Styela clava: one gene and its partner. The protein of the gene in region 1 purifies or fractionates together with the protein of each later gene. This does not show direct contact. Links are inferred from orthologs where the notes say so. Each region holds a gene or a part of one and is shown in the gene's direction. Other genes may lie near its edges.

Region 1 (6,420 bases):
AAAATTATACGCTATGTTTGGTATTATATATGGCCAACTCAAAACGTGCTGCTACTGTTCTGACTTATTAAAATCGAATCTATAAGGTATCTGCTTCTCTCCAAATGTGTCGTAGCGCTGCCTTTATTGGCGGTTTCCGAGAAATCGCTATTTCAATTACGATAATTTTTTGAAATTTTGAAAAAAATCCACAAGAGGACGTAAAATGCTTTTTGGTATTTTATACTTTCCGCAACTTATTCCAAGTTTAATGAACGTATAGTATATATGTATGTCCAAGAGAAAAAGATGTTTGATAAATTATCTAGGAAATTTATTTGAAATACCAAACTGTTTTTAAATATGTTACGTCTGCATTGTTTATAAAAGTTTGAATACACGCTATGTTTGGTATTATATATGACCAAGTCAAAACGTGCTGCTACTGTTCTGACATAATAAAATAAAATCTATTAGGTATCTGCTTTACTCCGAATGTGTCGTAGTGCTGCCTTTATTGGCGGTTTTTGAGAAATCGCCCTTTTCAAAAACGATAATTTTTCGAAATTCCGAAAAGGATCCACAAGAGGGCGTCAAATCATTTTTTGGCATTTTAACATTTGCACACTAATTCCAAGTTTAATAAACGTACAGTTTTGTTGTATACCCAAGAGAAGAAAGTATTTGATGAATTTTCCAGTAAATTTAGTTGAAATACCAAACCGTTTTTAAATATGTCACATCTACATTTTTTCAATGAAATTAAAAATATACGCTATGTTTGGAATTATATTTGGCCAAGTCAAAACGTGCTGCTACTGTTCTGACATATTAAAATCGAATCTATAGGGTATCTGCTTTTCTTCGAATGTGTCGTAGTGCTGCATTTATTGGCGGTTTTTGAGAAACTGCCCTTTCGAAAACGATAACTTTGTGAAATTTATTAAACAATCCACAAGAGGGCGTAAATTTTTTTTCAGTATTTCAGACTTTACTCAACTTATTCTAAGTTTAATGAAGTGCATTATTGTTGTGTGACAAAGAGAAAAATATCTTCTTTGATGAACTATCCAGTAATTTTAATTGAAATACAAAATCAGTTTCAAATTTGTTGTATATACATTGTTTTAAAAATTGAAGAATATACGCTATGTTTAGTATTATATATGGTCAAGTCAAAACGTGCTGAGACTGTTCTGACATATTGAAATCGAATCTTTGAGGTTTCTACTTTTCACCAATGGTGTTGCAATGCTGCCTTTATTGGAGGTTTTCATGAAACGACCATGTTACACGACGAAAATTCAGTCATTTTTAAACATCTCTCAAAGAATTATAAAAAAATTTTGTGCACTGTAACAGTCGCTTTAGCTTGTTTACCATATATTAACAATACGAGGAGTGTAGTTAATGATTGTTTTGCTTTAATTGCTATTGTGAAAATAATCAAAATATACACTTTCTTATAAAAATCATTGGGAACATTTAATTTTACGCGTGGGTATTTTCTGCGATTCTGTCAGTAACAATTTCGTGTTTTGCTGCTAGCTTCACAGAGGTCGTTGGTCTGGATTTAACGTTCTGATTGCTGGTTTGGTTCGATTTTTTTTTTGAGTTCATTGCTCGGAACTAAAACTTCGTCGTTTCGTTAGAACTGAATTTCAAGAAACTGCAAAAATGACTCTTGAAGAACAGAAAATTTACGCCAACGACGATCCCGAAGATCCTGAAGACGAGGAAGATGACGACGACGAAGAAGAAGAGGAAGACTTAGTTGACCCAATGGACGCAGTTAAGGAAACTTGCAATAACATTCCGGAGTGCTCGCCCTATAGAGAAGAGTTAGTTCGATGCGAGGATCGAGTGAATAGCCGGAGTCAAACGGAAGAAGATTGCGTCCAAGAACTTTTTGATTTTCTGCATTGTGCAGACCATTGCGTGGCTGATAGATTGTTTTCCATGCTGAAATAACTTTTAGGCCAACTTTAAAAGTGTGAAACTGTGTTTTGGTATTGTTTGTTTAGCATTAAAGTTTAGAACAAGTTATAAATTTAATTATTCTGTATGTGGCAAATTTGTTGAAAATGTTATCACCAATTACAGAATTACTGAATTTCAGAATTAATTTATATTTGGTTTTCTATATTTGAATAAAGTTTTGTGATTTATCAGCGATTGTATTGCTCAATTTTCAATGCTAAATTTAATTAGTTTGTATGGTTTCAAAGGTTAAAATCTTTATCCAAACTGACAAATGCCGTAATACTAAATGTTGATTCTTTATTTACTAGTTTATCACAACACCCAGACACTGTAGGACTGGCTGCGACTGTCTATAGTATAGATATATTTGCAGCTTTAACACTCATGAAATTCTGAGGAATTTTGTGCTGCAAATTTTTCATTTTATTCTGATGTGATTTTGATGGTTCGACTTGAAATCAAGCCCTAAATTGTGGATGTATTTTGATGATCATGGATGAGAAAAATAGCATTGAATGTTTATGTAAAAGACTAGCAGGTGAGTAATTCATACTCCACAAGCAGAAATGTCTAAACAATTGTGTTTTGATGGAATTTCTAAGATATTACTATATGAAAAATGTTTGCAGAGTATTTGTGTCATCAAAAGATAGCTAAATAGTCCAGTTTGAACACCGCAATGCCGCAGAAATTGATAACAAACAAGCCAATGATTTAGAGAGATTGCCAAAACTTCAAATGATGTTTAAGCACGAAACATAAAAGTACTACATGAGCGATCTCACTTTGTCGCACAGGATTTAACTTAAACAAAAAAATAGGATGAAATAACATTTATTACATGTAATATAGGCTTTTGGCTTCAAGCATTGCGATAATATATGCCAATGTCATACGCTCTTCGAAAACCTGAATATTTTTTATTGAAAAAAATTGCTATTTTGCTATTAAAAGTTTAATTGAAGTTTATTATAAATTTTTTTTTACTATATGAATATCATGAATTGAACCCCAATTTAAAAATAAGAGTTTTTGAATTGCTATCATGGGATATAATTTGTTTAAATATAATAAATTGATTTTATCTTTTGTTATTATCAAGGTTTGGATGAAGTTTTCTTACCGATTAAGAAAGTTGGAACAACTCCCGAGGTGATTGAAGACAAAGGAATTCTCACTGCTGAGAAAAAATATGATGAACTTCAAAAACATTTCGAACAAAGCCCCATGAGGTTCTTGCAAAGATACTATGAACATATAAAGCCAAATGAAATTTCCTGCTTCAATTCTTTACCAGAAAATGAGCAAGTCTGTTATTACATCCGGCAGATTTGTCACAAACAAGATCTAAAAGCAAGAACAGAACTTGACAGTCATTATATTTCACATGAAGTTAAAAATCGTCGATATCAAGCTATGCAACAAATGATTAAAGAAGGAGAATATTTTAATGAGGAAGAAATGAGTAAAAGAAATCCGAAGCTTTATCAACATTACATAGGAAGGTTTGTTTATTTCATTGCTCATTAGTCCTGAATCTGTGATATTGTCTAGTGCAGTGGTTCTCAAACTTTTTTTTAAGTGACGCAAGTATTCGAATAAATAGATTTTTGGGTCTTCCGGCCCAAGGATATGCTCAAATACTAAACGTTCAGTACTTTTATGGCCAAAATTAAATGAATATTATCATGAAACAATCATTTTGATATAACACCTATTCCTCCAAAAATTATTTTGAAGTGAGGAAACTGTGTGTGTTTGTCATCAGCATGGAATCGATGCATGGCTTTACTAAAGCAAATTGAATGTCAAGATTTTATGCAGTGATACTGCCCACGCATGCAATTACTATTGAGAAACACTTAAATACCAAATCTACAATAAACAATCAAATTTACTATAAAATAAAATTAGTAACTTTCAGTTTTTTATTGAAAAAAGCGAACTACCCAGGAAATTTTTTAGGCAACCCAGTTTCGGGTCACGACCCATATGTTGAGAAACACTGGTATATTGCAGTGGCTTTCAACTTTTTTGGTGGAGAAGAACACCAATGCAACATTACAGAGACTGGAGGAACCCCTGTGCAATAGTGTGATTGCCTTTTATTGAATAGAATAAACTTTAAGATAAATGTTCAAGTGATGAAAGCAAATTTATACTGGCAATGGCAAGTTATTTTCTTTGGAGTGTAGCAGGTTAAGTTCTGTTACACTCTAACACAAATGTATACAGTCGCACTTTGACAATTATTTTAAGCCAAGTAATCCAAGAGTCTTGCTGTACATAACAAAGCAACACAAATATATTTTTTCTCTGTCTTTGGCCTCCTTGCATTATATGCTTACGGATCCACCTGTGCAAGATCATTGTAGAGGTATGACTACGGTAGTTGGTCCCACAGAAATCTAATTATTAGCACTTTGACTAGGTTAATAATACAATACCGTTTAACAACACTGCTTGGGGACCGTTTGAGGTCATTGATACCATTTTTTTTAATGATAAAGATATTTCTCTATTTGTAATCGAGTACAGCTTGTATCACATTTTAAAGTTATGAGAAAATTTTTTTTTTTTCAATTTCCAGATCTGTACAAACTTAAAATTTGACATTCGGCATACCCTGAATTCAAAACTAAAACAGGTAATAAAACTTGGTTATCTCATCTTTCTTTACCAATATTCTGTCAGAAATCCCCCCCAAAAAAAAAAACAGGCCTATAATCACAAGATATCGAAAAAAGTCCATAACTGAAAAATATGACATTAGCTTTAGCTTTAGTTTTAGTGTGGCATTCCATCTATCTTCTTTTCTCACTAGGTTTCTATCGGCAGAAGAAAAAGAGGAAAGAATGAGTGCAAGAGCTGCTGCCCATCCAACCACACTTTCTGGATTCTTCATGGATGTTATTGAGAAGAAATGGGACAAAGAGGATGAGAATCAAGATGAGGAATTTGATGATGACAGTGAAGAAGAGGAGGAACGTGTGCCAGGTAAATTTCTTCAGGATAGGAATTACATATTCATCCCAGGGAGAGGAAGATGGTAACATGACTTAATCATATCTTGAACCACGGCCTCTCGTCCTGTTATCAGTCAAAGTCAGGTATGGGATCAGTTAGTTATTTGTTTTCGGAAGCATGGACTTGATGGTGGAGAAAGCCGTTACCGACCAGTGGTTACGTGAATCACCCTACGGCGGCTAGGAGTTAACCAATCCTCTCGAACATAACTATTCACGCATGGGATTCCAACATGTGAATCCACGCAAAGTAATTAGAGGTGCGGTGATGAGAGTATTCCCAACGCTTAGCACGATGAGCCACACCACAGCGCCGCGGTAAACTTCTTCAAATTAGGATGGGATAGGATTTGCATATTTATCCCGGAGGAGAGGAAAGTTGATAATAATTGTATTCAATATGAATAAGAATTTCATTTGATTCAAGAAAGTTACCTCGTACTAACACAAATGTACTGATCTCATTCGGATGAAACCTTGCAGAAATACATTTGTGAGAGTTTGACTGGACCCAAAATTGGTTGACCTGTTCACAGAGTTTAGGTTAGGTTTGGTTAGGTCTTCGTTCATCACTGAAACGATGCAATAGAATGACTTTTTTGAATTGTCCAACAAATACTATATTATGACACCTGGACAATTATCAGTGCTAGTACGAGCGGTTGTTAGTACTAGGTTGTGATATGATTGACCACGTTAGTCAGATAGTTTTTTTTTCGGAACAAAATTTAAATTCTGCCATATCCTATTTCCTTTAATCATTCTTTTCATAGATATTTCCGAAGAAGAGAAGGAGTTTTTAGCTGAAGAATTTAAATCCAGAATGTACGAGAGTTTTCTCAGTGGAATGGATAAAAATTTCTCATATGAGTACGTATTTTTACATCGAAAGTGGAGTTTGGTTCATCATATCTGCAATATTACATAATCCTGACTTACTCGAACACAGGTGTCAAGCTCTGCCTTGTTTGAGATAGCGATACCATGGGACTGCCAGGCGATGGACCTGATGCCTTTTCAAGTCTGATAATATTATGTTAATTTTATTCCATCTTTAATAGATCTTTAGCTAGTGGAATATGCAAGTCAACACCTCGCCCACATGTTCCCTCATCCCCCTTTTATTATACATTGAATTATAGTAGTTTATAATGTGTTCATAATTAATTATTATAGAAATAATGAAAAAATACTCAGCAAATAAAAAGCGGATTTTCTTCTTCGAATACTTCCTCCCAGGTTGGGAAACAAGGGGTTATACCTGACATGGGGCCAAACACGGCCGTTGGGTAATTCAAACTGGCTCGCTCGATGCTGCCACAACCAAACTAAAACCAAATTTTGATGTTTTAACTCAAGGAATTTGTTGAGAATGCGATTAAATTTAGTTTTGGCACGAGAATTATGGTTTTCCAGTTTTGCTCTTGCGACA
Region 2 (5,856 bases), on another chromosome or scaffold:
AAATATTTTTGACATTTACTGTCATATATGATAAATACAGAATCCCAAAATAGTAGAGTGTAGAATTACTGTTTTTGTTATTTAAGCTTCACAGATAGACACATGTTTTCAACTAATAGAAGCAAGAACGCATCTTTGATAAACCAAGTTCTTTTCATGAATAAGATCTCAGTCTCCGCCCAACCGTTGACCAGCACCACCCCATCTGTGAGCACCATCATCAGCTGGTGCAGCACGTCGAGACTGTGGTGCAACACCAAACCCTGATACAGCACCTCGCATGTTGGGAAAGTATTTATATCTAGTAAATAAAATAAGATTAGCAATTTAGTCATATAAAGAGTGGCAAAAAAATGAAAAAAAGTTATTGATCATTCGCTGCAAGTTATACTATTCATTCTGCACTCGTTTTGTGTTTCTGATTTCTGATACCCTTTTTCATACACTGCTAATTTTTAAATCTTAATTCCACAAGCATTAAAAGTTGATAATAAAAATGGTAGACGACAATGCATCCAAATGTTCGTAACAAACAAACATTACTCACAAAAACTGAGGTGTTTCCAATAATGCTCTTCCACCAAAATCTTGAGGATATTTAAATTTCAAAAAGAAGTAAAGATGACCAACAAATATACCAAGTAGTTCCGACATTCCTCTGTAATGCAAAATGATGTAATATCTCTGTATGACCAATTAGTATTTGAATATAGTTGAAATGAAAAATTCAGAACTTACCCTCCTCTGATAATCATGTTGAATGCAAACAAAACCCATGGTAAGTAAGCGGCCTGGAAAATAGAGTAAATTTTTACAGTACTCCTAGCAATTCTATCCCACAAGTATAAAAATGGTGCCGCTTTGAGGCAAACAGCACAATTTAATATTATTGGCATATTTACATTTAAGTGGTACAAATTATGTGAATACAGTGTGAAAATCTTTAGTCAGAATGAAATCATAAATTTACAGAACATGAAATAGACACTCAATACACAATTATAATTGTCTAAATTTCTACAAATAAACTCACCTTAAACCTGGTTCCAAACCAGAATGATACAATTTGATCGCGATTTATTTGACACCAAACGTACAAAGCAGAGAAAATGAGTAAATCAAACATGATCTAAAAATAAATATATAAGTAATGAAAATCATTTTTAACGTGCTTATAAATGCTCAGCACTGGTGACATTATAATGTTGGATTACTTTGATGAACTCCAAAACTGAGTATGTGAGTCTTAGTCTTCTAGATATTTTAAGCATATTGAAATGATGAAAGCATAATTAAATTAACTTACCCTGATTTCCAGAGCCAATGCCAATCCCTGAATTAAAAAAAAACAGGTATGGTTAAATTAATTCAGATGGGCAGAATGAAAAAAATGCATGGCTTAATTTGCTCCTATGAAATGTAATAAGTTATTATAATTTTCAAGTTTGAATGAAAAAGTCAAGAATTTATATGTATTAAAATTTTTCATGAATAAAGCCAAAAATGTAAAACATAGAAACATTGAATAATCAATAAAATTTGAATGCATAAATCCTAATAATAAGGAACATGATATTTTCAACTTTTTTTGAGAATAAATTGACTACTCAGTCATCATAAATTGCGATTGTCGAATATAAGAAATATGGTAAATTTGAACAGAACCGAAAAGTGATTCAATACTTGGCCAAGTAGATCACTTACGATTCATGCTTTGAGAAATGTAAGAAGGTTAGGCTACTACTATAATTTCAACAACTACAATCAGGTATAGAGCAAGGCTACATTCATGAAAATAGTTCCTACCACTGTAGTAAGCCATGTGAAAGCAAGCATGAAAACATAGTCTGCAGGTCTCCCTTCAAATATACCTGTATGTAAATGTATAAATGAATTAAATATAGAAAGAATGCGTGTGTGATTAAGTCATCCAATCGGCTTTCCTCTCCCATGTGATAAAATATAAAACTAAAATATTAATTTCATAATTTCTGGTAGCAGACGACAAAATGGTAATACCAAGATATACCAGGATGAACCAAAAAGAAATAGTCATAATAAACATTATTTATAAAGCAATATAAAATGTGACCTCTGCTAAAAACAATTGAGATGATGAACAAGGATTATTATGATGTGTAATAAAAAATTAGGTAAGAAAATTAATCACCAGTTTCAAGTCTTGTTGAATAACTGTACAAAAAATATAACATAATGAGATAATGAAAACCAGTCATCGGTGTTATTGGGTAATAAACAGCAGCAGTGAATGGACGCCATATCTGAAACAAGGAGTGAAAGAAAGTATAATTATGGTCAATATTTTAACATTTCTATACATCAAAAATTAGTATTAAAATATATAACAAATTACCTGAAATCTACTGAATAAACTGTACCAATCCAAGATCAAATGCATTCCATTAATAATGTTAAATTTGGCCACAAGTGGAACTACAACTGATGCACTGAACCTGAAAAGAGAATGTGTGTAAAATAATGGTATATTACAGAACATCAGTACTACAGTGGATAGGATAGGATTTACATATTTATCCCGGGGGAGAGGAAAGCCGATAAGACGGCTTATCCATATGGCAAACCACGGCCTCTCGTCCGGTTAGACGAGAGTCCCATTCCAAGTCGGGTATGGGATTAGTTAGTTATACTGTATTGTTTGTTTTCGGAAGCATGGACTTGGTGGTGGAGGAAGCCGTAACCGACCAGCGGTTACGTGAACCACCCAACGACGGCGAGGAGTCCAGCAATCCTCTCGCACATAACCATCTCTGCATGGGATGCGAACCCACGCAGAGTAATTAGAGGTGCGGTGGCGAGCGTATTCCTAATGCTTAACCCATTGAGCCACACCGCCGCGCCGATGTTGGAAGTACATGAGGTATGAAGCTAGGTACTGGTAGATAGGCACAGTACTATATAATGAATACCTGACTGTTGGACCCAAAGACTGTGTGTAAACTGTACCTGTGTAGCCTACCTGTATTGTCTGATTGGAGTGTAACTACAGTCAGTTGGTAAAAAAATTTACGTACCGGTAACTTACCAATAACGAGTTATTCTCGGTATTCCACGATACCAGTCTCCAATATCATTAGACGCCATCTTTGAATATCCCTTATTATAAAACTACACCTAATACTCACGACAAACTGACAAAATATCAATGAAAACTTTAAAAACCAGCAAACAACAAGTTCTTCTTTGCAGACGTGTCTCAAATTATGCACAATAATGTAGATATAATGACGTAGTATGACTTGACAAATATATTGACAGACACATGTGCACCACCTTGTGATCAGATCCAGGAAGGATTACCGTACTTTGGGTTTCTTTTGGCATTTGGTGGTTGTTTGTAGTGAGAATAAGTATTTCGTGAGTGTACAGAGACAAAATATCAATCAAAATGGGGGATCGATATAATATATTTTCTCAAATGGAGCATTTGCAGTCGAAATATGTCGGTACTGGACACTCTGACACTACAAAATGGGAATGGTTGACAAATCAACATCGTGATAGTCTTGCTTCTTACATTGGTCACCCGGATCTTCTAAGTCACATTGCTATTGCGGAAAACGAAACAAGAGCTCGAGTTCGATTTAATGTGTTAGAAAGAATGTTCCAACCTTGTGGACCACCTCCTGATCGTCCAAATGTTGATTGAAGTGTGATTTAATTGGAAAGCGCTTGGAAACTGACATCTGCAGATCTGAGACACATGTCATACCCACCTCAAAATTGACTAGTGTTATGAAGCATGAACTGCCATGTTCTTACTAGTTTTAATATTTAGTTGTTTGAGAAGTTTAAAACTGAAATATTTCACAGGAAATACTGCAATGCTTTGTATTTAATTTGAAATGATATTACTATCTTGATGAAATTAATTTGATTTCACTATGAATAAAGCTCTAGACAAGAAGTCCATATGAAATTAAACTATTTTATTCAATCAAGTATTATTTTTCATATCCAAACTGCTAATAAATGTAGGTCCATAATTACAGAATTAAAATGATTTACAAATAGAGATATGTTCCTAATATTTTCTATTGTAATAGGTTAAATAATTGTGGCTATCTATCCATCGTGGCTTGCGTTTATAGATGAATGTGTTTCGAAATTTTCAATTTTGAAGCCATCCTGTTTTATAAATTTGTCATGTTTTAATTGTTGAAATGGATTGAATCAAATCAGTAATTCTTGTCAGTACAACTCCACTAAGCACAGCTTTAAAAACAATTCATTTTGAGTTATTTTATCAAAATGTAGCCCCGATCAGGCAGGGAAACTTTTTTTGAAACAACTTTATTTTTGTCATTTCTCTTGTCTCACCTAATTCGAACGATATATTATTCATGCTCATGTCAATTTTTTCTTCGACTTCATTTCTTGAAACATGATATTGTACTGCAAATGTTTTTTATTTAGGTAGTAATCTTTTAAAATCTTAATTCTATCAAATATTCAACATTGTAATGATGGAAAAAGAAGCTGATATTACTGCCGAGGAGTTTGCACAATATGATCGCCAAATTCGATTGTGGGGACTTGATGCACAAAAACGTCTTCGTCAAGCTAAAGTTCTTGTTGTTGGAATCGGTGGACTTGCTTCTGAGGTGGTCAAAAATGTTGTACTTGCAGGTGTAAAGGCTTTGACAATGCTTGATGACAAAGTAGTTTCAGAGTCTGATATGGGTTCTCAGCTTCTTGTAACTCATTTAGACATGGGAAAAAATAGAGCAGAAGCATCAATGGCCCGAACACAGCCGCTCAATCCAAATGTAATCGTATCATGCGATAAGATGCCAATTTCGGATAAACCGGATGATTTTTTTCGAGAGTTTGATATAGTTTGTTTAACGGAGGTACCATTCGAAGAAAGGATAAGAATTAATTTAATATGCAGATCATCTGGAATCAAATTCTTTTGTGGTGATGTTTTCGGATTTTATGGATATTGCTTTGCTGATTTGGGGATGCATGATTTTGTGCGTGAAGAAGTGAAAAAAGAGATAAAGTATGATCTTGATGGAGAACCAGAAGCAAAAAAGAGCAAACTAGATGAAAAGGGCAAAAAAGAAGAAGAAAAGATTCTTGTAAAAGTTACAGATGAATTTTGTAGCCTTGAAGAATCTTTAACTGAGGATTGGTCAACAAGATCAAGGAGAATGATGCGACAATCATCATATATTTTTTTTATCATTAAAGTAATTGACAAATTCAAGGAAAAGACGGGTCGAAGTCCAACATTCGGCAAAGAAGATCAAAATTTACTCCTAGAACTGAGAAATGAGGTTCTCAAGGATTCAAATGTTTCAGAAACTTACATTCCTGAAGAATTTCCTCAATTTTGTATTTCCGAACTGAATCCAATTTGTGCGATAACTGGTGGGGTATTGGGCCAAGAAATCATAAAAGCTGCATCACAACGAGATGCTCCACATAATAACTATTTTTTCTACAATGGTCGTAGTCATGCTGGCATAGTAGATCAAATTTGTCCACCTTTTAAATAACGGATGGAATCTCACATTAGCATAATTCTGCAGTTTAAATGCAACTACATAAAACAATAGAATTTAAAATTACTAGCACTAGCACAAGGGCTGGGCACAGACATTTGTTCAGAATTGAACAAGTGCCTAATCTGTTCTCTTCTAGTCATCCCTACTACACTTGGTTGGCAGAATGGCTTGATTTTTTTTTCTGGTTTTTTACTTTGTATTTTTGTATTCTTAATAACCTTTTCCTAGCCTGATAACTAAGAGAAAATGACACCAAATAAGCTCTTTTTTCATGTTATATATATTCAATGTCATCAGAAAATAG

What was found. Proteins that work in one complex are often made in the same cells at the same time.
Region 2: the proteins of coiled-coil domain-containing protein 97-like (region 1) and splicing factor 3B subunit 5-like purify together in Homo sapiens (affinity purification with mass spectrometry; 3 studies listed by BioGRID and IntAct, counting the BioPlex papers as one, with this or other methods). This does not show direct contact. The link is inferred for Styela clava from reciprocal best matches to the Homo sapiens genes CCDC97 and SF3B5.

The regions. Positions count from the first base shown.
Region 1 is NC_135257.1:17,904,535-17,910,954, forward strand, and holds the start of coiled-coil domain-containing protein 97-like, read left to right. Parts: upstream 1-2,361; 5' UTR 2,362-2,448; coding exon 2,449-2,500; intron 2,501-3,064; coding exon 3,065-3,467; intron 3,468-4,786; coding exon 4,787-4,959; intron 4,960-5,761; coding exon 5,762-5,858; intron 5,859-6,420. Other genes in the region: cytochrome b-c1 complex subunit 6, mitochondrial-like, read left to right, coding at 1,657-1,950. UniProt on the Homo sapiens protein: May play a role pre-mRNA splicing through the association with the splicing factor SF3B complex which is involved in branch-site recognition.
Region 2 is NC_135262.1:19,157,940-19,163,795, reverse strand, and holds splicing factor 3B subunit 5-like, read left to right. Parts: upstream 1-3,340; 5' UTR 3,341-3,427; coding exon 3,428-3,688; 3' UTR 3,689-4,455; downstream 4,456-5,856. Other genes in the region: derlin-1-like, read right to left, coding at 169-301, 548-658, 739-791, 1,034-1,129, 1,307-1,333, 1,807-1,871, 2,171-2,282, 2,375-2,474 and 1 more; SUMO-activating enzyme subunit 1-like, read left to right, coding at 4,503-5,543. UniProt on the Homo sapiens protein: Component of the 17S U2 SnRNP complex of the spliceosome, a large ribonucleoprotein complex that removes introns from transcribed pre-mRNAs.